Linked DNA regions of Oryzias latipes. The protein of the gene in region 5 purifies or fractionates together with the protein of the main gene of each other region. This does not show direct contact. Links are inferred from orthologs where the notes say so. Each region holds a gene or a part of one and is shown on either strand. Other genes may lie near its edges.

Region 1 (4,811 bases), on a different chromosome or scaffold from region 5:
GCTTTTCCAATGTTTACAGCAGAAAAAAACAATCACATTCCTTCTAAAATAGTATATTTATTATTTGTAAATTTAAAATAAGGCATGAAAAACAACCTAAAATTATTCTGTTATGGTAAATATGGAAAAATGTTATGCATCATTTATTTCATCAGACATAAAATATAAATTACTAATGAATAAATCGACATCTGCAGATGTCTTAGAAATGCTAATATATCCAGAGTTTATCTTCTCTTTTTCGATTATTTGGTCAATACAAAGATCTGGACTGATTAATGCCTCAACCCTGAGAACCCAAGAGCAATTTTCTTCTGGGATTTTGAAGTTAATTTGGCTTTTTTGTTGTTTTTTTCATTTTGCAGCAATTAACATAGACCAGAAGATTGAAAATCCATAAATAAATTAATAAAAAATACACAAAATGTATATATAATTTTGAAGAAAAAAAAATAAAAAAACAGCGGCCAAACTTGTCTCCATGGGTTCTCCAGGGTTAAACTTTTGTTTTACTTAGAAATATTTGAGGGAAAATCTGTTAATTTTCTTTTCTTTCTTTTTTTTTTGACAAATATTTTTATGTTATATTTTCAAGTCATGAAGCTAATCACTGGGTGGCAACCAGAAATAAGTTTCTGCTTCACAGCTTCATTTGACAAAACAAAAATCATCCTCCTTTTTAGTTCTGCGTTTTAGCTGCACATAATTGCCGTGACACAATGAATACAACACTGAGCCATTAGCAGCACAGTCAATTAGCAAAAGAGGAATTTAAGAGGGAAACTTAATTAACAGGACATGCTATCTGATTGATACGCTTTCTGTTTTTGTTTACAAATTTGCTGTGAGTCATGATGCAACAAGTCATTTTGCAAGTCAATTTACATCGTAAAAAGGATATTCATCCATGTAATTTATTATCATGACACTGATGTTAAGAAATGTGACTTTTAAGGATGTTTTAAGAGGATGTAAGGATGTTTTTTTGTCTAATGCTTTTCTTAACGTGTGAAATGATTACTTTGACCAGAAGTGAGTTTTCTTTAAAAATTATGATTTTATGTTGTGGCTATTATAAGGTTAAACTGCATGGAACACGGTGTTTACAGCTGTATGTGAGTCAAGGGTCGGTAATGGTTACTGTGCTCCCTAATTGGCAGTGAACTGGACTAGAGGCATGATCGTAAAACACGTAGGTCCTGTCCCCGTTGTTTTTAGTCCTTGAAAGGCGGGCAATGAACTCTTTGCATGACATTATCTGTGAATGACATGCGGATGGCCACACACCTTTTGCAGCCTCCCTCCGAACCACACCTCCTCTATGATGACCTATGGGTCAACAACTTGTGCAAGCATCAGAAAAACATCACAACAAAGTGTGCCACTAACCCCATTCCCTGATGCCTGCCTATAAAAGAGCACCTGTGACTTGGATTAGGGTTATTTAGTCGATGTAACTCGCTGATGTAGCTACAAAGGAAGAAATAGACCAACCTTTAAGGATTAAACCTGCGTTCTTCCTGGTAAGAACAGTCTCCTAATTCTTTACATTATTATTGTTGAATTAGAATAATTACAAGAAATGAATTATTGGCTAAAAACAGAAGATACTACTAAAGTATTTCATTAGGCTATGCAAAGGCTTTCAACTTTAAAGCTCAGCATGAAAATAATGAGCAGATGTTTATTAGCAACAAAAATTGGTTATTATGCATTACTGTTTTATTTGACACACCAATCAAACCTTTTTTTGCTACAATCTCTGCAAATAAGAGGGTGATGCTTTTTTGATCAATTAATTCTTTTGGTTTTTTTTAGTATTTTGACTTTATGGTTCCTTTGTCAGTAGTTTTTCCTCACTTTTTGTGTTTTCTTTTTCTTTTTTAACTTCTAGGTGATTGATTTGTACTTGTTAAGTGAAGAGAACTTCTCCATTGAGAGCGTTTGCATTTCAGCCGCAGCCTCCTGATCTGAGCGTCTGCGCCGGACGAGGGGGCGGTGGGGTGGCGTGACGTCATATCAGCCACCGCGCTCTGATTGGCTGCCTGGCTCTCACCCGACAGAGCTGTGATTGTTTTCTGCAGAGGAAGCCTCTGAACGAGCGCCGTGCGCTGGAATGAAGCGACCCTGTGTGTGTTTTTTTTGTTACTGAAGCGATGATGTGAGCGCACAACGTGACCGGAGTCCTTGTCGTTGAGTGCGGGAAAACAAAACAGGGTGGTAGTTTGATCACTGGCCGAGGCGCCAACGAGCAGGACGGAAGTTTGGGTCACACAGTCTCAAGAGAGATCAAGGTAAGAACTTACAGTTTACGACTTACTTTCATCATCTAGACCCATGCTATAAATGATTTATGTTTGTAAGTTAAATCTTTTTTTTGATTTAACAGTAAAAAAAAAGTGCCAAATGCCGAGACTGGAGGACCACTGCTGGAGCTGCTCTTGTTCTTCTAAGGCTGACACTAAGCATTCATCGGGGGCTAGCTGGGTCGCATCCAAGGTTGAGGAGATGATGTCCATCATAACCACGGTGCTCGGGAGCGCCTACGGCTCTCTGCACGACGTCCGGACCACCAACCTGATCCGCCGGGGTCTGGTCCTCTTCACGGTCGGGGTCTTCCTGGCCCTGGTGCTGAATTTACTGCAGATCCAGAGGAACGTCACTCTGTTTCCTGAGGAGGTGATGACAACGTTGTTCTCCTCCGCTTGGTGGATCCCTCCATGCTGCGGGACGGGAGCGGGTGAGTTTGTTGGAGGTTGTTTGTTCTGTTTTTTAATCAGAATTGTGCTGCTGTTTGGCGACAAAGGAGGCCAGATAGGGGAGGGGTCACAATGCTCCAGGTTTTTCCTAATAAAATACTATTTTTGGTGAGAATAACCACAAATGTGACATAAAAACTTTCAGGTTAAATTAAAAAAAATGTCTCTTTAGGTGTATTTCTAGGGCTCGACAAGCGAATCCGTCGATTTTTATGTCTAAAACGACAGAAATACCCTAAATATCATTGACTTAGACTTTCGCAGTGAAACATAACATTAGTCATCCTTTCTTTCCACCATTATGTAAGCTTTTTTTCTCTCGGGCGGTGTGGATCTGGCTGGTTTTGTGTTAGATATCAAAAAAGATGGCTGGGCACATATGATAGCTATTTCTGCGCTCTGATTGGCTGAAACAACCGGACGCGACGTGCGACGTCCCCTCATTGGTTGGTGTCATAACGGGTGAGCGGAGGACCTCCCCCTTCTTGTAGAAACAGGAAGTGGGGTTTTAAAAAAAAGAAAACATTCCATTGTGGCTCCGCCTCCCACGTGCTGAAGGAAGGCAGAGAAACAGAAACCGATTTTTCTTGGTTTTAAAGTCTTTTTAGACGACTTTTGAGTAAACCAAAGTTCAAATTTCATGTAATATGTTTAATTCATATTTAACATAGAAAAACGTTTCTAATTTATTCCTATAAAAATTATAAATTCTGACTGTTTTACATTAAAGATGTGGAGAGAATGGTTCAGAATTTAAATAAATAACTTGTTTATACTTTTACGGTCAAATTTAGGTCCAAAACCACTTATTTTTAGGGCAATTACCTTTAAGGTTTTTTCTCAGAAAGTAATTTAAATAAATAATAAATTCACATATATGAGCCTTGAAATTGCAAATACACAAAACAGTATCGCGTTCACATGAGTCACTAAGTATAGAAACGCACGTCTCAGCAAATTTTCTGTCACTGCAGCTCTTTGACAGGATTTGCCCTCAGTGGGTCTCGGTATTTCTGCTTTTGTTGCATAATTCAGGCGTATTTGTTGGTCTTCACAGCTGTTATCGGCCTGCTGTACCCCTGCCTCGACAGTCATTTGGGAGAGCCTCACAAGTTCAAGAGGGAGTGGGCCAGCGTCATGAGATGCATCGCCGTCTTTGTAGGAATCAACCACGCCAGTGTTGTATCCTTTTATCACCCTCCAAGTCTTGCCCCGCATGAATTTGCTTTGCTTTAGCCACAACAAGAATCAAACCTTTTCCAGTGATGAATTAAATACAGGGTCCCTGTTGAGTCTTTTGTTTTCCGACCAGTAAAGAGTCTTAGTTTAAAATTTTGTTGCTGTTCTGTTTTGTTTCTTTTGTTGCAAAGAAAGGAAGTGCGTAAACGTCTGTTCTTCTCATTCAGTCCAGCTAGTCAAAAAAATTCAAACCATCTGATCCTGTGCTAACATCGAAGTGATTCCCCTTAACTCTTTGGAAAACAGAAGTTAGACTTTGCCAACAATGTGCAGCTCTCCCTAACCCTGGCCGCGCTCTCCTTGGGCCTGTGGTGGACGTTCGACCGCTCCAGGAGTGGCTTCGGTCTGGGCATCACCACCGCCTTCCTCGCTACTGTCATCACACAACTGCTGGTCTACAATGGCGTTTACCAGTAAGTCAGCCTTTTTTCAGGGGAGATTTGGAGCAACAACGTGTGGTTTCAATGTTGTGTGAACAAACAAGAATGTTTCTCTCTTATGGCTGATTCTCAACACTAATAAGTGATTGTGCAGTAGTAAAAGTTGACCTTTGTCACTTAGAATCCATTTAACTGACTGGTTACTAATGTTATTGGATGCAATCTGTTTTTTTTTCTTCTCCGCTTTGAAGACTTTTATTTTTAGATGATCTCATTCTTCAAATTCACATGGGTAGTTGCGTAACATTTAGCCCTGCTTACATGGTGAACAGCAGAACGGCACACCAGAGGATCAGAACATTTCTATGAGAGATTGTTGACATTTTTAATCCATCCGCCTCGCGATACCTGCAATTATCTGACCCTTGATTCC
Region 2 (4,921 bases), on a different chromosome or scaffold from region 5:
AATCGTGGTTCTGCAGAAAGACGGGCGCCCGGCTGGAGTTCCGCTGGATCTCTACGCGCAGAATGCCGTCGCGAGGCCAGCGCTCCCTCACGGCCTCCAGACAGTTGATCGGTGAGCGAGAGAAGGCAATGTGGATGTAAGCAAGGATGAAGAGGACAAAGAGAGCCTGGAGGACAGCAAAAGGAGGACATTTTACTGACACATTCACCAACATTCAAATCTACACAACTGTGACCTTCTGCCACAACAGTGGAACGTTAATAATAATGCCATTAACCTCTGTTCTCCAAATAAAACCGACCAAAATTCAGACTGAAACCAAATGTTCATGTAGTCTCAGAAACTATACCAGAGTTGAAACACATCACAGAATGCTGATCTGCAGACTAAAACCTAGACGGATGGACAGTCTTGGTAAAACGGAGGTTTTTGGGAAGCAGAGTTTCCCTCCATTCAAAGCGGTTAAAGAGCTCAGCAATGCTTCTCGTTAGCCAGTCAGTTTCTGTCCATAAAGCCAGACAGTTCTGCTTCTCTCACCTTGAGGAGGACAAAAAACTCAAAAACTCTCCTGAAAGACGGAGGGAAGAGACGGGCGTAGGTAACAGCCATCTTGAAAAACAGCGCGTGGAAGAGGCGGTCGCGGACATTGATGAGGGGGTTCTGGTTGATGTTGGGGTTTCGAATCCTGTTGGGTCCAATGTTGTTGTTCAGAGGGACGTTATTGGCTTGGTTCTCGGACATGGTCACTGAGGATTCTGGTTGCAAGACACGGGCCCACTGGCTGGCTCTAAGTGAGCATGGTGGCTCAATACAGCCTCAGAGAGAAGGCGGAGCTCTGGCCGGAGTAGAGTCAACAGGGGAAGCTCCACCGAGAGCTGCAAATGACAAGAAACAAAGAACTTTGATTACTGATCTATCAGGAGTTGACTGAACTTAGATCAGGTTAACCCTTGTGCCATCTTAGATGACCCCCCGTCCTTCCATTGACGTGTTCTCTCTACCATGACAAAGGTGGAAAGATTTCATGTAATCCATGGACACCAGTGAAGATCACAAATCATTGAAGAAAAAAGGTTCAGAGCACTGTCTAGTGGGTCCAGATGACCCAACTCCCAATATTAAAGTGCCTAGGATAGCACAAGGGTTACGCCAAGGCTTCGGAGGAGCTATAAATATGAGGCATGTTTGAGAAAAATCATTAATGACCAGGGCTGTAAAGTGTATCCAAGTACTCGGATATATTTCCCTGAATGTACTAGTACAAATATTTGCAACGCTGATTTGTGATCTTCATGAATCTATGAGAGTGTCATAGAGAGTGTTATTCTTCAATGCAGAATAATGTTGGATTTTAATGATATGAACTGAACACAGCTGCATGAACCACTGAGACCTGAAGTAAATAAAACTTCAAAGTAAAGTGTTGGTTCTCATTTTCAAAGTAAAGCTATCCACTTTTTTCACAATATTAATATTCATAGGAAATATTGGACAACATACATAAAACTGTAATTTAATTGATGATGAAAAAAATAGACAAAATGTCATTTTACTCAAATAAGTCTATTTATTTATTTTGTTTTGTATTTTCTTTTGCTTTGCTAATGACTTTGCTAATGCTTCAAAATGAAAGGTAATTTCATAATAAACTGCAGCTTGTCAGAAATAAAACCAGTAAATTACATTGGAAATGGATTTCTATTGTTATTACAGCTGGGCTGCACGATGTGAGGAAAACACGCAATGGTAGTGATCAGTACTGGCATGATGATATGACTTGCAAAACATGAATAATTAGAGAAAACAAAAAACATACATCATTTCCATTTCACTGCCACAGTGTAAGTTAAATAAAGGTCAACATAACTTACATTTTCTCTAAATGCCCATCATCTACAAAGGAGATGGGCATCCAGCTCCAATGCTTAAAGGGCTGAATTCTATTTGTTAGAAACTTCAAGCTGAGATTGTTTCAGCATGTGTGTAAACATTTAGGTCCGTATTTATCACACAGGCCAACATGACAGTGACAGTAAGGTTATGGTTTTTGTGCGAGCCCAATTGCAGCAAAGCAAGCTATAGTTTGGTCAAATCCTCAGACCTTAGGAAGACTTTGCTGATTGTTATTTAACGTTTTTTTAGGTTTTTAGTGACACCGCTTTAGGCAGACAGGGGCAGTAGTGTCTGTTGTTGAGCTCATTACATTGCCTTCACTTTTTATTGCTTTATTTTGTTGACTTTGGTCATTCTGATGCTTTCAATAACATCACGTTTAAGCAGATGACCAAGAACTGGACCTGTCTTTTTGGTCCTAACTTGAAGGCGTCGGTCGGTCGGTAATTCAAACATCAGTGAGTCCTGAATAAAGACGGTTCACCAACTTCACTTCCAAACTTCCTGTGAGCTCACGTGACCTGGGAAGGCGTTCCTCCTCCACCTGTCCGTATGTTCTGAACCTGAATCAGTCCCAACTACAGTACCAACCAGAACCGTCAGCCCAGACCTGCTGTTGTGCTGATCAGCATGTTGTGCTCTCGTGGCGCATCGATCAGCTGACGTGTTGTGGTCAACAGTCTCGGGCGCCGTCTCTCTCGGGCCTTGCTGCCTTTACTCTTGCCCCGCAGCTGAGACTCCTCCAGCGGACTTACCAGCCAATGACTCCGAATTATCGAGTCCGTGTCAACGTAAACCAGCTCTTCTCGGCGTTTGGATCAGGCCATAAGGCTGAAGCCCAGCAGCTCGAAGCGGACCTCCGCGAAGACGACGAAAGACAGGCTACACAAGCTAGCAGCTAACCCCAGTTAACCTGCGGAACTCGCATTAAACTCACGTTTTCTACGTCAAAGTTTACATAGGCTGGAAACTCAAAATGTTGAAGTAAACTTCAGAAAGGTGTAACTTTCTAATAGGCAAAAATGACCTGTCGGCGTTAAATGACCGAGCTAACGGATGCTGTTATCAAAACCACGGATAGAGCGGAAGTACGGATGTCGGACGCTCAGCCTTCGACCTGCGCGCTGTCTGACAGGAGTTGTTTTTCGCTTTCCTGCATTTTGTCTGCAAAGACTTTTTCCTCGTCTTTGACTGATGATTCATGGCACAAAAAAACCACACAAAAAAACAACAGCATTCAACCCATTGTTTATGGAAGCGATTCTGTAGCATAATTAAAAATAAAAGTCAAAACTAGAAATGCTTTTTCATTTTCAAAATGAAGCTGCATTTTTTGACTCAAAACGAAAATGAAAAAGCAATCCACCAAAATGCTTTTTCATTTTCTTCTTCAACACCGTTCATTCTGTCACTTAATTAAAATGATAATGAAAATGGTATTTGACATTTCATTCTCAAAACGTTCTCTGGTAAATGTTTAACAAAATTCATTTAGAAATGTCTAATTTGACAAAATGGATTAATAGAAATGCAAAAATTCATTTTGAAAATGGTATTCTAGTATTGACTTTTCTGGTATTGACTTTAATTTTTATTTATGCTACAGAGTCGCTTCCATAATTGTTTTCTTGTTTCTCTTGATTTATTTGGTTGAATGCTGTAAACCACTGTTTCTTTTTCATAGCATATTCTGCCGTTTTTCTGCACTTAACTCCTTCTACAATTTTTCACCTATTTTAACCACTCAACTATTACAATGTTCAGCTTATTCCTTCCAGCTATGACTTTAGGTCCTATGAATCTTTGAACTCTTCAAGATAGTCCATGATTTCTGGCTCCATTTAAATACATGTGGAATCCTTGAAAACATTTGCTTCTTTCAACCATTATAACTTCAACATAATTTTAGCTAGACACCATTCAAACGTAAAATGCTCATAAGGCTTTGGACTATAACATGTTTTGAAATCATTATGGGATGGCGACACGACCTACGGTTTGAACTGAACATATTGAAAACCACTCAATATGGACATATAAAGAATTTCGGCATTGTTGAGTAAGCCCAGGGGTAGTTGGCATGGTTAGCAAACAACCTCAGCCATTTCTTCAGCAAGATAACATTCAACCCTGCATTCTGGTAATGCAGCTCCTTTTAGATAACCCTTCAATTTTTATATTTAAAATTCCAGCAAAGAGACTTCAGCGGATCATCAAAAGGACAAGATTCAAGGAGCTGCAGACCTCCAGAAAGCCTGGAATGAGGTGGAGGAACAGCTTCAAGAACCTCCACCTTCAGGAGACGCATCCAACTGTCGGGTTCATCGGGTCAAGAAACTTCTTATTCTAATATTGTTTTTTTTTAGAAAGGGTCTGCATGATGCTTTTTTTTAAATCCAAATTAGTAATTCTACATTATTAAAACTTTATTTATACAGATTGATCTCTTGAGACTTGGTTTCATTGAAAACAGACAGCTGTCAATGTCTAATCATTTATGTAAAGTCTGATCCAATTCCGAATAATGAATGCTAATTGACTTTGTAAATTAAGTATTACAGTGGTTTTCTTGGGTTAGAAGATGTTGCTTCCTATTTACACTCATGTTCGTTGTGGCATTGGCTCTAGATTGGAGCTTGTGTGTTACAAGCTGCAGACAGTGCTGTCAACCCTTGTGCTATCCTAGGCACTTTAACATTGGGAGTTGGGTCATCTAGACCCACTAGACAGTGCCCTGAACCTATTTTCTTCAATGATTTGTGATCTTCACTGGTGTCCATGGATTACATGAAATCTTTCCACCTTCATCCACCTTTGTCATGGTAGGGAGAACACGTCAATGTAAGGGGGGGGGGGTGTCATCTAAGATAGCACAAGGGTTAAACATTAATGATAAAGCCTCGGACGTCATGGAATGAAGAACACTGTGGGGATTTATAGTTAAGTGTATTTCAGGGCAAAATATGAGCAACCATCTACAACAGTAATGTCTGAATTTGTGTGTTTTCCAGAATCAGGAGTCACAACA
Region 3 (5,098 bases), on a different chromosome or scaffold from region 5:
GCGGGGGGGGGGGGCTGTCGATCAATACAGACTGAGTTTTTTTTTGGATGCTGGTGTGCCGCTGTGTCTTTGTCAAGGTTAAAGTGTGCCGTGGCTCAAAAAATGTTGAAAAACACTGGCCTAGGCAACACAAAAGTGGCAAAATATGAACCATTTTAAGGCTCTGGAGTGGTCTAGCTAGACTGTGGACCTCAATCCAATAGAGAATCTGTGGAGGGAGATGAAAGTCTGTGATGCTCAGTAACGTCAAAGCTCTTGAGGAGATCTACATGGAGAAATGGACCAAAAGAGAAGACCCAATGAAAATGTCTGACCTCTATCAAAAGAATTGAGATGAACTTTTGATATTGACCAAATACTTATTTTCTACTTCACTTTACAAATGAAGTCTTTAATTTGTAACATTCTATCTCTCAATACTGAGGTGTATCCATAATATGACTTAGGAGTGAATGAATAATGGACACATAATAAGCACTTTAAGCGTCTGGAAAAGCGCAGAAAGATCCAATCCACTATTATTATTATTAATATTGTTATTATTATTATATAAACTTAAAGATTCAATAAAATACTTTTTTTTTAAACAAAAGTAAATTAGGTTCAACAGATCTCAAGACTTTAACAAGGATTTACCAACGTCAGAAAGGACATCCTGCTGTCATAGATGGATTACCATGACAACATGATCGTTTTTTAATTTTTTTGTTTTCATATTTGGAGACACAAACGGTTCATTTTGAGCATACTAACCTGCCATAACAGGGTAATTAAAGTGTTCTGCTGCTGGATCCAGGTTGACCACCTGAACTGAGCGGTTCAAAGCCTCTGCATGCTGGGTCATGGTGGAGCAGTACGTACTCTGAAATATTAATAATAATATTTTAAAAAGATACAATTAATGGCAAAACACAATAACAAAATAAAAACACGCTGGGTGACTGACACCACCTCATGTACTGTTAGCAACAACAGACAAGAGGCTGTAGACCATCCAGTGGCATTTTTGAAAACATACCTTTCCGCTACCAGCCGGGCCCATCACCAACTGGGCATAGCGAGGCATTTTCTCTGAAAAATGCGGTGTGATAAAGATCTTAAGTATCTTTAACCACAGACGCTAGCTTGTAATGCCATACGCATCGGTGTGATGACGCTACTTCTTCTTCTCCGGTAGATGATTTACGGTCAGGCTCATTACTGCCACCTACTGATCAAAAGAGGAAATGGAAGTCAGGGTGACAGTGGTCTGAAAAAGAGCCACAATGGAATGAACTGGTGATGAATTATTACACCTTTCGCACGGTGGATGTGAAAACAAAAATGCAATCCCATCTTTGCATTTTCGCTTTAATTATGCCACAGAATAAGCGGTGTTGAAGAAGAAAAAGAAAAGCAGATTGGCTCATTCGTTTGTAATTTTATTTTTTAATTCACTTGATGCAGTTACATTTTCAAAATGAAAAAGCATTTCTGTTAATAAACTTTGATGATCAAAGAAGATATTTCTAATTACATTATGCTACACATTTAGTAAAAAATGTCGAATACCATTTTCTTTCTCATTTTAATTAAGTGACAGAATGAGCTGTGTTGAAGAAGAAGAAAAAGAAAAAGTGGTTTGGTCGGATTGTTTTTTTTTTTATTATAAATTATTACAAATGCAGCTTCATTTTAAAAATTGAAAAAGCATTTCTGGTATTGACTTTCATTTTAAAATATACTACAGAAATCTTCCATACGAATGTACTGATGATGAGCATTGAACCAATATAGTGAGGAAAATACTGTGCAACAATTGTTTTCTTTTTGTGTGTCAATTACCATTGAGTCGCAAATTCTGTGGCAGTGTCAGTTGTGGCATTTTTTTAAGTTTCCCCAGGAAATGAAAAATTTTGCTCTTTAACTTTAAAATTGCTTTATTAAAACCATATGTATTTATTTGAACAAGTCGTTTAAACTGCCTATGATATGACCACGATAACCATGAAACTTAAAGCAAAGATCATGACAATAAGTTGTTCACAAACTGGCCGTTAGGGAGCGGTAGAGCCCCAGGGATCTTTGCTGTCAACAAACGAAACCACCAAAATTGAGTAAGAAGTAGAAAGTGACTGCATCAACATGCGATGATCAGGTGAAATTTGGAAACGTATGCAAGCCTTCCTGCTCACCAAGTTTGTTGATTGCGTCCTTCATCAGGCGCTTAAATTAATAGTATGTTTCGAGGAAGTGAATGGAGTTAACAGGCCAAGTTTGTGTACAGACATTACCGCGTGACGGTGGACTTCTTAGCAGGTACTACTACTACTACTAACTATGGCAAGTCTTTGTTTTTCTATTTTTTAAAACAAATGTTTTCTTTTTTTGTTGTATTTTTTTTTGCTGTCTGAAACACGTTCATGTTAATTTTCGTCAGTGCTTTCGATTTACGTGATATGAAATAGTTTCACTTCAGGAACTACCTTAAGGTTTGTTGTTAGCATAAGGCTCTGTATTTGTTTACGAGCGATAATAATCCTCTCTTTTTTTAAATCCTAGTTATAAATGACTATAATAATCGTTTGTGTAGCGTTAAAAAGTAATGAGGTCTGAAAACCTCCGTTAAGATAAATGAACCTATAAGTAAACATTAATTGTTTACAAATGACGTTTGCTTTCAAGAATTCTCGATAAGCTGCTCAGGAATGAGGTAACAAAACCCCAAAAGAGTCCAGCTTTCAACAATTATCCACTCTCTTTGTTCTGTTAAATTGTTCACATTATATTGTTTGGTTTTTATGTTTACAATTGTGTCAAATTGTCAGGAAAATGTACAATTAAAAAGATTCTGTTCTCCATTGAAGGCTTTTATTTTGGAGATAAAGAATTTCCGGGTTTGTTTTCTCTGCTCATTTTCCAGAGTCATAGGATATGAGTTTAGGGAATGGGGGATAGTCAATGTGGAGAGCTGGACTACCTGATCCAGGATGAGGACACCATCATCGAAGGTGTCAGCAACCAGGTCCTGTTTGTTGTAGTTCTCAGTTTGACCTTCCTGGCGGGCCTCCTCACTCTTCTCTGCAGGTAATGAAGACCAACAAGTCTGTGCAAAAACTGGCAGCATTGAGTTCATGCAGTGTTTTTACTGTGCTGTTCTCTGCTGATTGGAGAAATTATGCTGCTGTTTAATTTATGTGATATCACAGATATAGGAGCTAATTCTAGAATTTAAAGCGACTGAAGTAACGCCAGATCGATCAGGCTCGTTTCCCTGCGCAACGAGCAAAATGATGGTCTTTGCGCTCCAATCAAAGTTGGCAGATCATTTTACTTACATCATCATTATGAAATTTTCTTTCATTGATCCATTTCTTACCGCAACGACGGTTGAAAACCTTTTGTCCTTCAGGCAGAAACACATAAGTGAGAATTGACACACTCAGATTGCCTCTCTTTGCGTTAATCTGTTGCAATCTTTTTGTTTTTGGATTTTTCAAGTCAGGGATTTAAGGATGAATTCAATCATATATGACATAATTCATCCTAGTGTCTGATCATTATTCTTTGTCTTCTTTTTTAAGGCAAGATGAGCAGAATATCCACCCTGAGAACCAGGAGCATGTCCGAGCGGTCCGACAGCAGCTTCAAACTGAACAGGTGCGCAACCTAGAAAGAACCCCAGAAAGTTTTTGGCAAAACCTAGACTAGTTGTAGCCACAGAGCGCCGTTTTTCTCTTCTGTTGCTTAATTCTGAGTTTCAAAATAAAATCATTCACTGCTCTATTTTTTTAAAAAATCAAACAAGTAAACAGAAAATAAATGTAGCTTGTTTTTTTTTTTTAACTCTTGGAGTTGTAATACTTTAAAATAACCTTTTTATTTATTTATTTATTTATCTGAGTAAGTTAAAACTACATTTTTAAAAATATTTATACATATACATATACAGACGGCCAGTATCTTCAGTATTGAATTGAGTTTAAACTGTTTGCTCATCGTCACCTCAAAAGGCTTTAAAATTCAGTGAGGAGTTAAGAACATATGTAAGCAGGCAGACACAGGAAATGGAGGAACTGCAGAATCAGAACCACTACATTGAAATATTTCATAACAGTGATCTTTGCAGCTCTGCAGAATCACCGATTCTATTTTAGGAAGATGTCTTTCTGTGTATTTTATTTTGTCAAACGTCCTGTTTGCAATGGTGAGACGTGTTCTCTGCGTGTGGTTTGTCAGGATGAAAACCCTCAGGCAGAGGCCAGGCAGCAGTTCTACACAGACATGTCTTGCCCCGTCTGTTTGCAGCAGGCGGTTCTGCCCGTGGAAACAAACTGTGGACACCTTTTCTGTGGTAAGAAAGAGTTTAGAAGCAAAGTATAGTTTAGGGGTTCCTCACACAATTTATTAGTGAAGGTACTTTTGATATTCTGTGAGGAAATTGTACAATCTTGTGCTAATTTCTTCTAAATCTCCTGTAAAACAGGTTTTGTTTTAATTTTAATAGTTGGAAGTTGTGTCAAACCCTCATCAATGAGATATTTTACTTAGATGTGGATTATTTATGGTTTTTAAGATGTTAACATATTCTTACACAGGCTCCTGCATCATGGCTTACTGGAGATATGGCACCTGGCTTGGTGCCATCCACTGCCCAATCTGCAGACAAATTGTGAGTTTTATTGCTTTTATATCTATATTTTATTTTCAAGCAATATTTATTAATATGTCTAATTATCCAAGCTTGATTAGTTATGGTATGAATGTATAACGGATGATTTTATTGTTTTTGTATATTATTTCTATTTGATTGCTTGAAATAAACCATTTCAAATCAAATCAAAAAATATTTTATTGCCAAAATCTCTGTTTTATGACATGATTTTTTTATTTTTTTTCCTAAACTGATTTTTCTAGTAAAACTGGGAAAGGGTCCTTAGTGACTGTTGCTGAAAGTTAAACATCTCTATAGAAAAGATCTGTTTTTTCTAGCATAATCTGTTGGGAATGGTTTAAAAAACATTTAAGATCTTCTACAATGAAAATTATGTTTTTTGTGTTGTTAACATGTTTATGTGCGAAAAACAAATTCTACAAATGGAGGACATGTATAAAATTC
Region 4 (4,904 bases), on a different chromosome or scaffold from region 5:
AGGTGAAGGTTTCCTGATTCTGTGTATTTCTTGCAACGTAATCAAATGTAAATTAAATATGTGATCAAACAAGTAAACTAGAATTAATGGTAAATCCATTAAGAGTTTAGTTTTCTAAAGTTCAGCCCTCTGTTGTTATTTTCACATCCAAATAATCCAAAGGGAACATTCTTAGAACATTCTATCACACTGTTTGGTCACATGTCTTTGCTAAATTCAAAGCGTTTCCACACATTGGACTGTGATCATTTCATGCTGACATCACAAACCTGTTGTCCACTGTGATTCACTTGGTCATTTTTACCTCATAGTAAAATAAACCTACCACGTCTCAATCCAAATTCATTTCATCTTGGGATGATTTTTTTTAATAATTATAGGTTGATTTGATTCGATTAATTCACCACTGTAGCCAACTCTCATTACCTGGGAGTACGAAATTAAAAAAGGCATTTCAAACAAGAGCACAAGCCTCAGGAGGTTAAGGCACACTGTCCAAAACTGATCGATCTACTTTGATAAATCGATTCATCAATTTATCACTGACCCCTACACTTGAGCAATAAGCAGGCAGCGAACAAAGCATCATAGTGAATGTTTAAAACAAACCGACTGTGAAGCTTTTCTTTTTCAGAGCAACAGCTTCAGCTGCATTTATCCAGCATTCTGTGGTTACGTATAACTGCTGCTATGAACCATGATGATGATGATGAGGAGGAGAAATGTTGCAGACAGAGCTGCAGCTTCAAGATTCCTATTGTATTCCTGAAACATTGAGAAGAACCAGAAAGGCCTTCTTTGCTGGATGCGTGTCCTCCTGTGGGGTCCTCACGATGTTTGCTTCAATTCATGAAGCAAACGTGACCGACAGACGTCCCACATCTTCCTGTCTCAAAGTTTGATGAACCAGATTTCTTCCACACGCCCTCAGCAGCTTCATAATAAAGATCTAAACTGACATACAGAACTGCAGCCGAAGTTTGTGTCCCTGCATGCAGAAATAGCATCATCTGACTCAGAAGTGGGCAAAAACAATCCTGATACGCTGAGGAAGATAATTGCGGAGAATAATTATCATCCCAATGAATGAATGATGGAAACCAGCCTCTTGAGGAAGAAGATGCCCTCTCACACTTAACTGATGAAGGAGGAAGCATGAGACAGAGAGACACTCCTAATGTGTGATATAAAGTATCAGTCTATTGATCTGAATAAAAAAAAACTCTTCATGTTGAGCAATATTCCAATGTTCAATGTTTTATAAAGTATCAGAAATATTTCAGAAGGGTTTTTGATGAGTGAGGATCTGTGGCGGACATTCTTCCCCCACAGGGGTTGGGGGTGCTTCCAGTATTTCCGGGTGCCTCTGACCCCCCCCTGCGCGAATAAGGTGGCAATTCTGTAGTGCAATATAGTATGGTAAAGTGCACCGTATTACAGTAATGCAGTCCTTTGTGTTGTGTTGTACAGTATGGTTCAGTGTATGGGATGGTGAATTAGAGTTTAGTGTTGTAAACTACAGTCCAGTACAATGTATTACAGTTTATTCCAGTGTAGTGTGATGGTATACTAGAATATAAAACAGTGAATACAGTGTTGTACAGTAAGTACAATGTAATGCAATGTAGTACAGTGCTGTACACTGAAGCCTATTTTAGTACTGTGTAGTAAGATGTAGTACAATGAAGTACAGTAAAGGACGGTGAAATACTGTATACTACATAGATAATAGTGTGGTATATTGCAGTACCGAGTACAGACAAGTATGGTGTGATATGGTCCATTGCAGTGCAGTACACTGTGTTAAATTGTACTGCAATGAAGTACGTAAAAGTAGAATAAAGTACGGTGTAGTACAGTGAAGTGTGGTGCAGTGTAATACCATGTAGTGCAGTACAATAAAGTAAACTGATAGATACGATAGAAAAGTTACCGTTTGATGTATCCGATGGTGTCTTGTGGTTTGACTTGAGCCGTTCTCTCTGTGTCGTTCAGAAATTTTAGTCTGACCACCATGTTTCTTGGGGAGGACAATGGCTCCCCCCCTGCTCTGTGTCTGACTCCTCCCCCCACCTCACTACCTTCCTGTGTGGCGGAGGTCGTGGGTGGAGCCTCTGACGGGACGCTGTCATTCACAGAGCTGGCAGCTGAAGATGAGGATGACGTTGGAGAGAAAGACAAGGAGCTGCTGCTGGTGGAGGACAGGGGCGTGTCCTGTGGGGCAGAGACGGTGCCTTCTGTGGGGGTGGGGTCTGTAGAGGCATTGAACAGGTGCTCTGGGGGCTCAGAGGTGTGGGTGGAGATCCATGCCAGCAGCAACACCAACAACACCAGCAGTGAGCCAAAGAGCAGCGTCACCTCATCGCCGACACCTTCGATTAGAGCCATCGCCCACGATGACACACCTGCAAACAGGAGGCGGAGCTTAGCGTCAGCCATCACGAGTTTCATTTGTCATAGAGCACCACCGATAATAACTCTTAGCTTTCCGTGTGAATGTAACCAACTCAGAATTGACCGGACTAACCATAACCAGCCTGATCTTTTGATCTATTTTCAACGTGTTTCCTTTTTATACTTTTACTTGTTCATTTTTTGATTGAATGTATCAAACACAGTTAGCATTTAAGTGCTGCTTCAGTTTACATAGGTATTTATTCAATGTGCCCTAATAAAAGTATTATGAAGAAAAAAAACCCAGGAAACTTTAAAATGCGAGCAGTACAACTATGATGACGTGGTTGAAGAAGCCCTCTCCGCACTCACCTGTTCTTTTTGTAAACAAACTCCCAGTATAACCCACGTGGCATTTTCAAAGTATTCCCGGACCCTGAACCGTTCTAAACTGCCTCACTAAGATGACTGTTACCCAGCCAAACCCTCATTATTTCACTTTTACACTGCGGCCGCACCTGTGATCTTTCCTCGATGTCTGAGCGTTGTCAAACTGAGGTCAGCTCCCCACGCGCCCTGTAATGCCACCTGTTAATCACGTCACGTGACACACAGAAGCACATCTCACCTGGAGGGTGGACGGCCGGACTATGTATGTGCAGATCCAAACATGCAACTCGAACCAAACCATGGTCTCTAGTGTAACCTGGCTTTATCGGAACCTAAGTTCCGAGAAGCTAACTAACAACTCTGACAAGAGAACGAGTTCAGAGCGGGATACGAACAACCTGACCGAACCTTGTTTAGAGCTGGACCCAAACAGAGGCTAAGAGGAAGCCTCGGAACAAACAGACAGACTTGAAACTCACTGATTAAGGTCCAAACGTCATATCATGAGTTGTTAGCCCGTGGGCTTCCAGGCTAATGTTCGCCAGATGGTCACTTCCTGTTCACGCTTCTTCTTCTGGCCTCCCGGTAGAACCAACGCGATGATGGTGGCATGCTGCCATCTGCTGGTACTTGGTGAAACACCACACGTTCAGGCCGTTGATCAGAAATGAATGAGAAACCTTATGGTGGATGAAAGACAGACCAAAGACGTTCGTGGAGTGAGAAGTGGTTGGTGTGAGCAAAGATGCACACAGCTTAAATGGTCGGAGACATTCCCTAAAGGGAACAGTCAAAAAGTGAAAAAACGTAAGCTTTCTCGATCATTACATTCAATTGTTTTATAAAACACATTGTCAATCATATCGTAATGGTGGTTTAAACTCACACGGGGAGAGACTCAATTTGCCTCATAGTTCCTGTATCCTTGAAGTTTCAAAATAGATCTCTTATGTAACGACTAGTTTACTTAATCTGCCTAAAGTCAGCTGCCTAATTCAACCTTTACCTTTTAATACATCATTTCAAGGTGTTATCAGAATCAGAGATACTTTATTGATCCCACACGTGGGAAATTTGTTTGTCACCATAGCAACTGACAGCAGAGGGGAAAAAAGACTAAGAATTAAGTAAAAAAAAAAAAAAAAAAAAAACAAGAACAAGAAAATGTAGCATAAATACAGACATCAAGGTATTATAATTTAAAAAGCTATTTACAGAACAGTGCAAGTAGAAGATGTGCAAAAGAAATGTGCAAAATAGAAAACAACTAAATAAATAGGTAATAAAAGATGTGCAAAGGTTATTTTTTGCATTGTGTGTTGTACAGGGTTATTGCATTGGGTATGAATGACTTTTGGTACTGGGCAGTTTTGGAGCGGAGCTGTCTGAGCCTCCTAGAGAAGGAGCTCCGCTGTTTGTTCAGAAGAGGGTGAAGAGGATGCTCTGGGTTGTCCATGATTGAAAGGAGTCTGTTCAGGGACCTCCTCTCCATCACTGCTTCAAAGGTGTCCTGTTTGCAGCCAATGACAGAACCCGCCTTCCTGATCAGCTTGTTCAGTCTGTTGGTGTCACTGACTGCAATGCTGCTTCCCCAGCAGACCAAGGAGGAGAACAGGGTGCTGGCTACCACAGACTGGTAGAAGATCCCCAGCATCTTGCTGCACACATTAAAGGACCTCAGCTTCCTAAGGAAGTAGAGTCTGCTGCAGGCCTTCTTGTACACAGCAGTGCTGTGGCTCCTCCAGCTCAGTCTGCTGTCGATAGTCACACCCAGATATTTATACTCCTCCACCGCTTCTACATCCTTGCCCATGCAGAGGCGTTGTAAGACAGTCCTTTTCCTCCGGAAGTCGATCACCATTTCCCTGGTCTTGTCCACGTTGAGCAGCAGGTGATTCTCTCCAGCCCACTCCACAAATCCATCCACCAGCCTCCTGTACTCCTCCTCCTGTCCACCGCTTATACACCCCACAACCACAGAGTCATCAGAGAATTTCTGTAGGTGACATGACTCTGAGTTGTGCTAAAAATCTGAGGTGTATAAGGTGAACAGAAATGGAGAGAGCACAGTGCCCTGTGGGGCTCCCACACCACTCAGCACCACGTCAGACAGGACACCG
Region 5 (4,854 bases):
ATCAGATGAGTCACATTAAATTAGGATGCGCTGTGGGTAAACAAAAGAATCGGAAAATTGTAAACTTAAATCTGGATTACAGACCTCAGTATTTGAGGGTGGGGAGTTGCAGATTGGACACATTGACTGTATATAAGAACTGGACTGAGCGACTCCCCCTGGTGTTCCAAATAGGAAGTACCTGCTGGCTCCAAGAAGCCAAAATCCCAAAGACTTCTTTTGAGAAATAAACAGCTATCACTCAGTCATTCTATTTGTCAGGATAACCATTCTTGCTCTGATACCTTTTTTAACCTTGTTCTTGTTAATCTTAATTTTTTCCATGATATTTTTTCTGTAGTGCAAGTTATTCAAGTTATAAACTGACTGATCAGATGCCTCGATAAAAGTATGTGGTTTCATGTCGAACATTCGAAACGTTTGACAGATTCTCCCCAACCACGCTATTAAGTGGAAGGGGTGTGGCCTTCCAACAAGCTCACTCCTGGTTTGTGAGAGTGGTTGCCATAGAAATGATGACTCAGACCTGCTCAGACCAATCACAGCTTACTTACGACTTCAAAGTTCCAACATGGCAACGTCCATACTACGGAAAATAGCAACTGGATTGAATTAATTATGGCTGGAGTCGGAAGTAAGCCATTTTCTATGGATAACGTGAAACTCACTCCGTCCCGTTCTCGTGTCAATAGTTGGATATAATGGTAAAAACCACAAGAACACTGCTAACTTCAGTTCTGTTCAACAGAACTGACTTAAAGCCTAACTCCTGGAGCTGTGGAGTTCCATCGTGTGCAGAATGTTGTGGATGACATGGCTATCATGGGCTGAATCAGTAGTGAACAGGAGAAGGAGGGCAAAGACCTGATTCACAACTTTGTCAGATGGGGCGAACCTAACTACCTGCACCTCGATGCAGCCATGAAAAAATTGGACTTCAGGATGCCCGGGCCTCAACTGAAGCCAGTGACAATGTAAGGGCAAATATGTGAAGCATATGAAAACCTCTGCAAACATAGACCCCCTGTGTTTGTATTTCTTGGGAAGGCTGGTGTCCTCCCACATCGACAAAAACTGCTGCAGAGGGTATATTTGTCACATCACAAGTCAACTGTTTAGAAAGCTGTTTAGAGAAAGTCCAGACTTAGTGACTGGTTGCTGCCTCTGTCCTGATCCATGGACAAATGGGGAAGACATTTCTCCCCTATGGCATGTGGTTCTTTAACACTATGCAAGGCAGTGCTATGGCTAGGACAAGGTGGGAAAAAACCTGAATGAATCGAACTGCTGTGTTCTGTGTTTCCTAACCTAAGAACATTGATTTTGGAGCTAAACTTTTAAAAATGGATCAAACGGTGGAACAGAGTTTAGCGCTCTCGCCTCACAGCAAGAAGGCCCTGGTTCAAATCCCTGCTGGGTCCTCTGTGTGGAGTTTGAATGTTTGCCCTGTGCATGCAAGGGTTTTCCCAAACCCATCCGGCTTCCTCTCACAGTTCAAAATGTGTCCATATGTTAATTGGTGTCTCTAAATTGACTTTAGGTGTGCGTGCGTGCATTTGTGTGGGCCTGCAGACTGGCAAACTGTCCAGGATGTACCCCGCCTTCACCCAACATTAGCCAGGTTGGGCTCCGGCAGCCTAGCGATCCCAAAAGGGATACAGCGGGTTAAGAAAATGGATAGATGAATTGAAATTTATCCAAACTGAGTAAAATATAATTAGATTTAAATTTGGAAATTGTGATAAAGCTTGAATTTGCTTATTTTCTTAGTAGGATGACAGATTGATACATTTACAGCTGCTTATTTTATTATCTGTTAAACAACATCATGCAGGCTCACCTGTAGTACACGCCAGTGTGTCCTTCTTCAATCTTGTGGACAGATGCTAAGAGCGCCGCTCCTCCAAGAGCAGCAATTACGGAGAAAACGACCCCCCACTGTGCCATCCTGACAAGGAGACAGGGAACAGGAGCAGGTGAGAGGAAGAAGCTGGAGGATCAAGACGCTCTTCTTGCAATATGTGACTATGAAACTGTCACTGGAACCCGTCAGCGCTCTGGACAATAACAGTGGACTCACTCGTTTATCTCCTCTCAGCTCAGGCTTAGCCAGGCATCAGCAGCAGCTCTGACCCTGTCACATACAGAAGATCGAGGCTGGAGTTCAGAAAAACAACTTCTCCGCCGATAGTGATGGCGCTCACATCAATCCATCGCACGTTCAACACAAACACAAATACTGGAGGACGGCTTGTTGTTCAGTCACATTGCTCTGAGAGTCAGATGAGCTGCCACAGCTTTGGGGGGGACGGATTTGCAAACACAATCTGCTGAACCTTATGGCTCCACTAAAGCCCCGCCCACAATCAGAGTGATCAGCCCGTCAATTTCTTCACACTCCTGCCGGAGGCCTCAAATATACATTTCTGTAAGTGTTTATTGGTCATTTAGCTTGATTACAGGATCAATCAGGTGAGGGACATACATACATATAAATGTTACCAAGCATCATTCGAATTTGACCCAAACAAACTAAAATAAATACATAAATAAAACAAAAAATTTTGTGTAAAAAATGTTATGTAATGACAACACAAATTAGAACTAAAGAAACGTTCAGCATTGTGGACTTCACAGCTAACGAAATTAGCAAAGTGGGACCCACTGTGCCCTTTATATCCCAAAATAAACCGCTTATTTTAGGAGTCTGGTCTTTCAAACACATCTCAATATGTCACGTCTCCCATTCATTTTGGAATGATTGGGCAACTGAACTTGGCGTGTGTTTTCTCTTAATACAATCCAATTTGTCCATACCTTTGCACGTGTACTCAGCTTCGAATTACATTACTTTGATGTTAAAGAGCAAAGCAAAGAGCGTGTAACCACAAAATCACACGTGTATGTCTCAATATCTCTGAGCTTACCTGAAAATTGTATTCAGAAAAAACAAAACAGGAAACAAACGACCTACAGCTTCTTCTTCTGCTTTGATCCCATGTAGTGTTCCTTGTCTACAGCACTGCAAGCGCGCCCCCTGGTGGACACTGGGATTTTTATCTTCAAGGCCAGATCCGTGAGACACAGGTTTCATATGAATTATCTAAAATAATGTACACATTGAAAAGAAAAGAAAACGTCATAACCTACAATATCCCCAAAACTGCTGAAAAGATTTTCCTAAACCATAGGAAATTATGATTATTTATATTATGTGTTTTTTTCTTTTTTAATGAAAATCCTGTCTCTGAATTTGTTATTCAAAGCATTCCTCTGAGCTGTTTAATTTGCTTTTCTTTGCCATTGTATAGACTTCCTATCTGAAACAAGTGCAGCAACAAGGGGTGAATGAGAATGAGTCACCAGATGCTCAGGAGTTAATCTGTTACCAGACTGACCACGGACAAAGCAAGTATTAACAAAGCTTTCCACGTCTGAGATGTGAGATCTATCACATGAAATTCCTGTCCATCTTCAAGGAACACCACCTTCTGCAGGTTTTATGTGTTTTTGCCTCTTAAACACACCTGATTCTCTTTTGAGGTCTTCGCACATGTGATCTTCAAGACTGAGTTTTCCAAGTCTTATATACGTTTTAAAAGGTCTTTGCTCTCAGACCACTTAGAGTTTTTGTGATATTTTATGAACAATTTCTTCTGTGAGAGTTAACATCCAGTGTTAGGTCACATTTCACTATCATGTCCCTCACCTTTGGAATGGCTTTTCTGAGGACCTAAGAGCTTTTGCTTTGTGATTTAACTAGCATGGCATTCTATGGGTTTTGCTTATCTTTTTTGTGTGTTTTCATTATATGGACCTCTAAAGGATTTCTTGCCGTTGATTTACACAACTTTACTTCATAACATGATTTCACTCGGCTCATCCAGAGTGATCAGCAGATTTACCATCTCTAAATGAGACTCAAAAGAGAAAAGATCATGTTCTCTTCCCCCACTAGGTGGTGTAATGACTTTGAAAAAGAATTTCAGTATGTTCAGTATTTTCTTTCACCAACCAAAGTGAATAAACACTAGTAGAAAGATGCGGAGTCTAGAGCTACCAGACCAGAGGTCCAGAGGAAGACCAAAGAGGAGATTTATGGATGCAGTGAATGAAGGTAGCTGGTGTTAGAGGAGATTGTGCAGAACACAAGGTTAGATGGAGGAAGCTGATTCACTGTGGCTGGTATCAAGCATCATCCTTTCGGCTTTTCAAAAGGAAAAGAAGAAGAAAAAAGTGGAAAAAAAACCAGAAACTGCACACTCTTGTGGCTTCTAGAACTTGCTGTGTCATTGTTAACCATGCATTTCTCCACACTAAATCCGAGTAATCATATCCTGGTTTTATCAGCCTGTGAAGAATTTCCTGACCCATCAGCTTGATCTGGACAAAATGAGCCAGCAAAGGGGGAGGAGGCCAAAATGGAGAAGATGTCATTTCCTGTTGACCACAGATGCCTGGCACTGTGGCATGCTGTAGATAGAGTAGAGGGGTGAGTGTATGGTTCTTTGTGAGACCACAGAAAAAAACATAGATTGTCAAAAGTGTGTGCTTAAAAAAATCTGACACTCTTTGTATTAATAAAGACTTTTTAAACAGATGCTATTATAGCAATTATTGGATGCTTTTAATAATAAGCATTGGTAAGTTTTACCAATAGTTAAAGAAGCAGCCATTTTAACCAAACAACACTTCCATTTAACACATTACACTTTTCCTCAATAAAACTTGCATCCACCCCATCGTTTTTACAATATGGTTCATTATTACCCTTAGAAAGTGATCATTTGAAGTGATATTGATATCGATTGTGGTTAAAACAGCTCAATATAGCTGTTTTGTGTTTCAGAGTAC
Region 6 (4,799 bases), on a different chromosome or scaffold from region 5:
AGTCCAGCTCAGGGATGAAAGAAAATCCAAAGCAAAGTAACTTCTTTTTTTTTTCTGAATTTGAATCTGTTACAACACTCCCATAAATGTTAACTTTGGACTGCAACTTCATTTCTGTCCTCTTTTAGAGTAGCTAATAATTAACATCTGGCTATGAAGTTTCAAGTTTATTCTATCTTATCTGTCGTTACCCTTCATCATGATCTAGTTCCTAATTTTTGATTTTACAAAATATATAAATAAATATTAATATAAAATATATGTTAATGAAGAGTGAAAGCTGGAACATGAAAGCAATCGGTACCTGGAATTCTGTCATGACTTTATTATAAAACAGCTTTTTTTCTTCTTCTTCACTCAACAATTGGTACGTTTGTTTTATTACACAGTTTGTTCAATATTAATAGATATTACCTGACTCTGAAGTTTGTATTCGTATGCACGAATTTCTGTTTAGGTAGATAGTTTTATTTATTTTTATTGTAAAAGGAAAAAAAGGAAATGTGTTTGTTACAGGATGTATTGTTATAATGCATCTTAAAAAAAAAAACTTACTGTGTTAAATTTTATTTACTATCCTTTTAAATTGAGTTACTTTATAATAAACTTGTGATAAATGTGCAAAATCTTCTCTCCCAGCACCAAAAACATTATTCTAAAATTAAATCTTTGAGTGTTTGAAGTTTGAATAAACAAAAAATATGAGCAATTTGGCAATTTATTTTTATATTGACAAACCCCATTGACGCCATGAATTAAACTACTTTGACTCTAAACGTACTTTTTTTTTAGCTGGAAATAGTGATTACGCTGTCTGTGGGTTATTGGGTTTATAATATGTGGAAGAGCTAAACACATCCACAATAGCCTTGGACCTCTTCTGGTCACACACTGCTTTGGGATGCCATCACATTAGTCTACCATGGGCTGGCAGCCTGGTTGTGCTGGTACTACAACAGCCCCAAGCTGATCCTTCAAATTGTCAAAACAAAACATCAAGGAATCAAAAAGGACATCAGCTGCAATAACCAAAGCTAGCATTCCAAACGTATTCAATTACAGTAAAGGCCACCTGAAGGTTTCACAAATGTAAAACTGAGGCAATGACGTCATACATTTAAGACGTGTGTCATTGGTTTAAAAAATTGGGCAAATTCTTTATTGATGCAACTCAATCTGCTCTGCTGCCCATAAAAAAAAAAAAACTTTTTAAAAATACAAATGTATGGTTCTAATATATGATCATTTTTTAAAGGGCTGGTGTTATATCGAATTATCTACCAAACACTAATTTCCTAACATTGTGAAGTGAGTTTTTATGTATAAATACATATTTATTACTTTGAAAAAAATCTATCTAATCTGATTGGTCTCATCATTACATGCATAAACGTCTACCCTGCTGTCATTAGGGGTGAATTTCCAAAGAAACGACGTCTCCTGCTCTCCCGAATGAGTCGCGACTTTTCTTCTTTGTTCTAGAAACTACCCGTTCCTGTCTTCGTGGTTTATAGCACATTTTAAATAACACATTACAAGTGGATTCGTGCAGCTGATAGCAGCAAAGGTAAATGATATTTTAAGTGTGTGAAGTGAGTAGGTAGCAGCGAAATCGTGTGAAATCGTGTGAAATATGATTTGAATGGCGATGCCTTTAAACAGCCACGATGACGTAGTTTCCCTGCGCAACCAAGAAGAAGCAGCTCGCGAGTCAGCCGTTCAGCCTGTCGCTCTGCTCGGTGGCGTAAACATGACGATGTTGTCGTCCTCTATGATCTTCTTCGTGCAGCTGCACTAAAACTCGGTCCAGTGATTAGGACATTACCCGGGATATTGGGTCAAACGTTGTCTGTAAGGAACTGTAAGTGGAGTCTAGACACAAAGCCGCAGTTCGGCGATTGGTTTTAGCTTCGCAGCAAAGATTGGCTAACAAACTAGCTAGTATTAGGTAACGTTAGCTAGGTGAATTACTAACACTGGACATGTTAACTCACTTTAATTATTCTATTTGAATATTTTTGGTTTGATTATTTATTAAAATACACCCAAAGACAAAAAACCGAACGAACTTGATATATTTTTTTTAATTAAAGAAGCTTATGGGGGTTAGCCACTTCCTGCGTTAGTCTGTATTAGCATTTTATTGCTTTAGATTTTATATTCATATAATTTTACTAATGATTATTATTTTAAACTTGCCAGTATTGGTGAATTGGTATCGCCCTCAAATTGCAAACCCCATTGATTACATAATCTGTTTAGCTGTTTAAAGTCAGGCCAACATTGGCTAATCCAGATGTGTGTTGTTTGTTAACAGACTTTTTTTTCTTCCTTTTTTCGTTGAAGACTACTGCACCCACTGCAATGCCTCTAATGTTTCTGGAGAGGTTTCCGTGGCCCAGTTTGCAGACTTACACAGTATTGAGTGTGGCTTTACTCGCTGGGAGCATCTTCAGTGCCTACCCTACGGTGACAGACCCCGGCTTTGGGGCCTTGGAACCGGACGATACACCTGCTCCCTCCCACGTCGATCTTGAACACCTAAGCAATGCTGTCAGTAACTCAGAACTGGCAACAACGATCCTGTGGTATCTTGTGACCGACAGTCTGTTTGTGTGGGTAAGTTTCACTCACTTTAAAACGTTAGACTAATGTAGGGGTGTGACAATTCATTTTAACAATGGTCTGATTCATATCCTAATTTGTGGTTTCTTAATACTCAATATTGATTCATTTTTAATGGTCTGATATGATTCGATTCACTGACCTAAAATGAGTCGAGGACTAGGGAACACAAGCCACAATTTTCTAAGGTCCAGTGACGAAAGTTGGTGACCACAAATGGTAGAGCTTCCAATTCTGAACACAGAAATAAATGAAATGGCCCAATAGACCTCAAATTAAGTTATTATTATATTACGTCTTGCTGATCACCTTTGTTTTGCGGAAAACAATGGGAAAACCCGGTAATCATGTATAGATATATCAAGTTTTTTTTTTTTTTTAATGTCTCTTTCGATGCCACAGCTTCTCTATCTGTGCTCTAAACACCATCAATCTGTCACAGGACATTATTCAAGGGATTCAGCAATGTTGAATATTTTTCAGAAGATCATTCAATGTATACTATTGCATACTTTACCTCTGCTGAGTGCGGTTTATTATTCTGTATTAGGGACTTGAACCTGTGACCGTTTGTTACCGCGCTCTTTAACATTGTTTGTCACGATGCGACTTGTGAGACTTGGGTCCGCAACGACGAACCTCGCGCGGTTCATCAAGGTTCCTTGATGATGTGTTGGCGGGTGGTTTTTGGGACCTAATTTATCTTGTGCCTTTTCACTATCCATGACTCATGATCCAAAGCCATGAGAAAGCTGCCATTTTCTCACAAATGTCCGCTAAGTCCACTCTACCTTGTTTCAAATCAAAATCAAAGTATAAGCTATCCCAGTACACACAGTGAAGGGTATTTCATCGCTGTACATTTTCCAACGCGGAAACAAAGTTCTTCAACGGTGAAGCAAACATGCGCAAACATATGATGGCCGAGAGCTGCAAGACACATTTACATTTGAGATACAACCATTAACAAATCCTGGAACAAACAAACAAATCATGAAGCACTAAAAACAATTTTGGAACAAATGAACAAATACTGAAACACAAAAGCAAATCACTGAAGAAATTACAGAGTCCTGAAACCCAAAAGCAAATCCGGGTATAAATTACCAAATACCAAATCAAAAAAACAATCTCGGTACAAACGAACAAATGCAGAAACACAACAAGGAAAGTGGAGAAACGGCTTCTAACATCCTGAATCCCGGAAGTGACGTAATACATAACTAATTATGTATGATTTTTTACATTTCTTTATCACTGTTTTTTTTAAAGTGGACATTTTCAATACATGAAACAATCCAAAAGCATTTTTTTAAATTTTATTACTACAATACAAATTACAACAATGTGTTAGCAAGGTAAAGTTTTTGCTGCACTTCCGGTAATAATGGTATTCCCTTTCCATTAAGCTTGCACTAGTGCAAAACACGACTTCAGAAGAAGGAGAAAAAAATGAACGAAAGCGAGCAGCTGCCAACGGAAAGGGAATACCATTACTACCAGATGTGACGCAAAAACTTTACCTTACTAAACATTTTTTTATTTTGTATTGTAGTAACACAATTTAAAAAATGCTTTTGGAATGTTTCGTGTAATTAAAATGTCCACATAAAGAAAACAGTAATAAATAACTTTAAAAAAATCATAGTCAATTGGTTTTATATTATGTCTTTTCTGTTAGAAGCCGTGACCTGCTTTTGTTGTTGTGTTTCTGGATTTGGTCAATTGTAACAGGGTTGTTTTTTGTAATTCTGTATTTGGTCATTTCCCCCCGGATCAGCTGTTGTGTTTCAGGACTCAGTAATTTGTTCCATGATTTGGTGTTGTATTTCGTGATTTGATGTTGTGTTTCAGTATTTCTTTGTTTGTACCGGGATTTGTTGTTGTTGTATCTTAAATGTAAATGTGTCTTACACCTCTCGGCCACAGTACAAACGTCATGCACAGTGACACCCTTTGCAGTACCTGCTAGGACATCTTTAGGCAAAAATTCAACCAGTGTGACTCAGAGATGAATACCTGGGTACTGAATGGTACAGGGGAAGTTACACCAGAAATTGTACATTAAATATGTGTACAAACATACAAGAAAACAAGATCCAATGGCAATTTTAGTTTCATGAAGTTCAGCCCACTGTTGTTTTCCCACATGAAAATAATCCAAACTGAACATT

What was found.
Region 1: the proteins of erlin-2 (region 5) and insig1 purify together in Homo sapiens (affinity purification with western blotting; 4 studies listed by BioGRID and IntAct, with this or other methods). This does not show direct contact. The link is inferred for Oryzias latipes from reciprocal best matches to the Homo sapiens genes ERLIN2 and INSIG1.
Region 2: the proteins of erlin-2 (region 5) and tmem259 purify together in Homo sapiens (affinity purification with mass spectrometry; 3 studies listed by BioGRID and IntAct, with this or other methods). This does not show direct contact. The link is inferred for Oryzias latipes from reciprocal best matches to the Homo sapiens genes ERLIN2 and TMEM259.
Region 3: the proteins of erlin-2 (region 5) and E3 ubiquitin-protein ligase RNF170 purify together in Homo sapiens (affinity purification with mass spectrometry; 4 studies listed by BioGRID and IntAct, counting the BioPlex papers as one, with this or other methods). This does not show direct contact. The link is inferred for Oryzias latipes from reciprocal best matches to the Homo sapiens genes ERLIN2 and RNF170.
Region 4: the proteins of erlin-2 (region 5) and tmub1 purify together in Homo sapiens (affinity purification with mass spectrometry; 4 studies listed by BioGRID and IntAct, with this or other methods). This does not show direct contact. The link is inferred for Oryzias latipes from reciprocal best matches to the Homo sapiens genes ERLIN2 and TMUB1.
Region 6: the proteins of erlin-2 (region 5) and amfr purify together in Homo sapiens (affinity purification with western blotting; 4 studies listed by BioGRID and IntAct, with this or other methods). This does not show direct contact. The link is inferred for Oryzias latipes from reciprocal best matches to the Homo sapiens genes ERLIN2 and AMFR.

Annotation. Positions count from the first base shown.
Region 1 is NC_019878.2:19,439,083-19,443,893, forward strand, and holds the start of insig1 (insulin-induced gene 1 protein), read left to right. Parts: upstream 1-1,388; 5' UTR 1,389-1,523; intron 1,524-1,894; 5' UTR 1,895-2,294; intron 2,295-2,389; 5' UTR 2,390-2,406; coding exon 2,407-2,740; intron 2,741-3,816; coding exon 3,817-3,941; intron 3,942-4,244; coding exon 4,245-4,411; intron 4,412-4,811. UniProt on the Homo sapiens protein: Oxysterol-binding protein that mediates feedback control of cholesterol synthesis by controlling both endoplasmic reticulum to Golgi transport of SCAP and degradation of HMGCR.
Region 2 is NC_019862.2:1,619,564-1,624,484, reverse strand, and holds the start of tmem259 (membralin), read right to left. Parts: upstream 3,069-4,921; 5' UTR 2,649-3,068; intron 876-2,648; 5' UTR 742-875; coding exon 538-741; intron 167-537; coding exon 1-166. UniProt on the Homo sapiens protein: May have a role in the ERAD pathway required for clearance of misfolded proteins in the endoplasmic reticulum (ER). Promotes survival of motor neurons, probably by protecting against ER stress.
Region 3 is NC_019870.2:16,802,796-16,807,893, forward strand, and holds the start of E3 ubiquitin-protein ligase RNF170, read left to right. Parts: upstream 1-2,073; 5' UTR 2,074-2,322; intron 2,323-2,902; 5' UTR 2,903-2,926; coding exon 2,927-3,066; intron 3,067-3,563; coding exon 3,564-3,639; intron 3,640-4,218; coding exon 4,219-4,333; intron 4,334-4,577; coding exon 4,578-4,651; intron 4,652-5,098. Other genes in the region: gpn3 (GPN-loop GTPase 3), read right to left, coding at 754-862, 1,019-1,066. UniProt on the Homo sapiens protein: E3 ubiquitin-protein ligase that plays an essential role in stimulus-induced inositol 1,4,5-trisphosphate receptor type 1 (ITPR1) ubiquitination and degradation via the endoplasmic reticulum-associated degradation (ERAD) pathway.
Region 4 is NC_019875.2:10,862,407-10,867,310, forward strand, and holds the start of tmub1 (transmembrane and ubiquitin-like domain-containing protein 1), read right to left. Parts: upstream 3,444-4,904; 5' UTR 3,023-3,443; intron 2,945-3,022; exon of another isoform or gene 2,767-2,944; intron 2,406-2,766; 5' UTR 2,389-2,405; coding exon 1,934-2,388; intron 1-1,933. UniProt on the Homo sapiens protein: Involved in sterol-regulated ubiquitination and degradation of HMG-CoA reductase HMGCR. Involved in positive regulation of AMPA-selective glutamate receptor GRIA2 recycling to the cell surface.
Region 5 is NC_019867.2:25,069,521-25,074,374, forward strand, and holds the start of erlin-2, read right to left. Parts: upstream 3,103-4,854; 5' UTR 3,095-3,102; coding exon 2,928-3,094; intron 2,886-2,927; exon of another isoform or gene 2,818-2,885; intron 2,135-2,817; exon of another isoform or gene 2,081-2,134; intron 1,949-2,080; coding exon 1,841-1,948; intron 1-1,840. UniProt on the Homo sapiens protein: Component of the ERLIN1/ERLIN2 complex which mediates the endoplasmic reticulum-associated degradation (ERAD) of inositol 1,4,5-trisphosphate receptors (IP3Rs) such as ITPR1.
Region 6 is NC_019861.2:26,263,788-26,268,586, reverse strand, and holds the start of amfr (E3 ubiquitin-protein ligase AMFR), read left to right. Parts: upstream 1-1,686; 5' UTR 1,687-1,861; intron 1,862-2,346; 5' UTR 2,347-2,364; coding exon 2,365-2,619; intron 2,620-4,799. UniProt on the Homo sapiens protein: E3 ubiquitin-protein ligase that mediates the polyubiquitination of lysine and cysteine residues on target proteins, such as CD3D, CYP3A4, CFTR, INSIG1, SOAT2/ACAT2 and APOB for proteasomal degradation.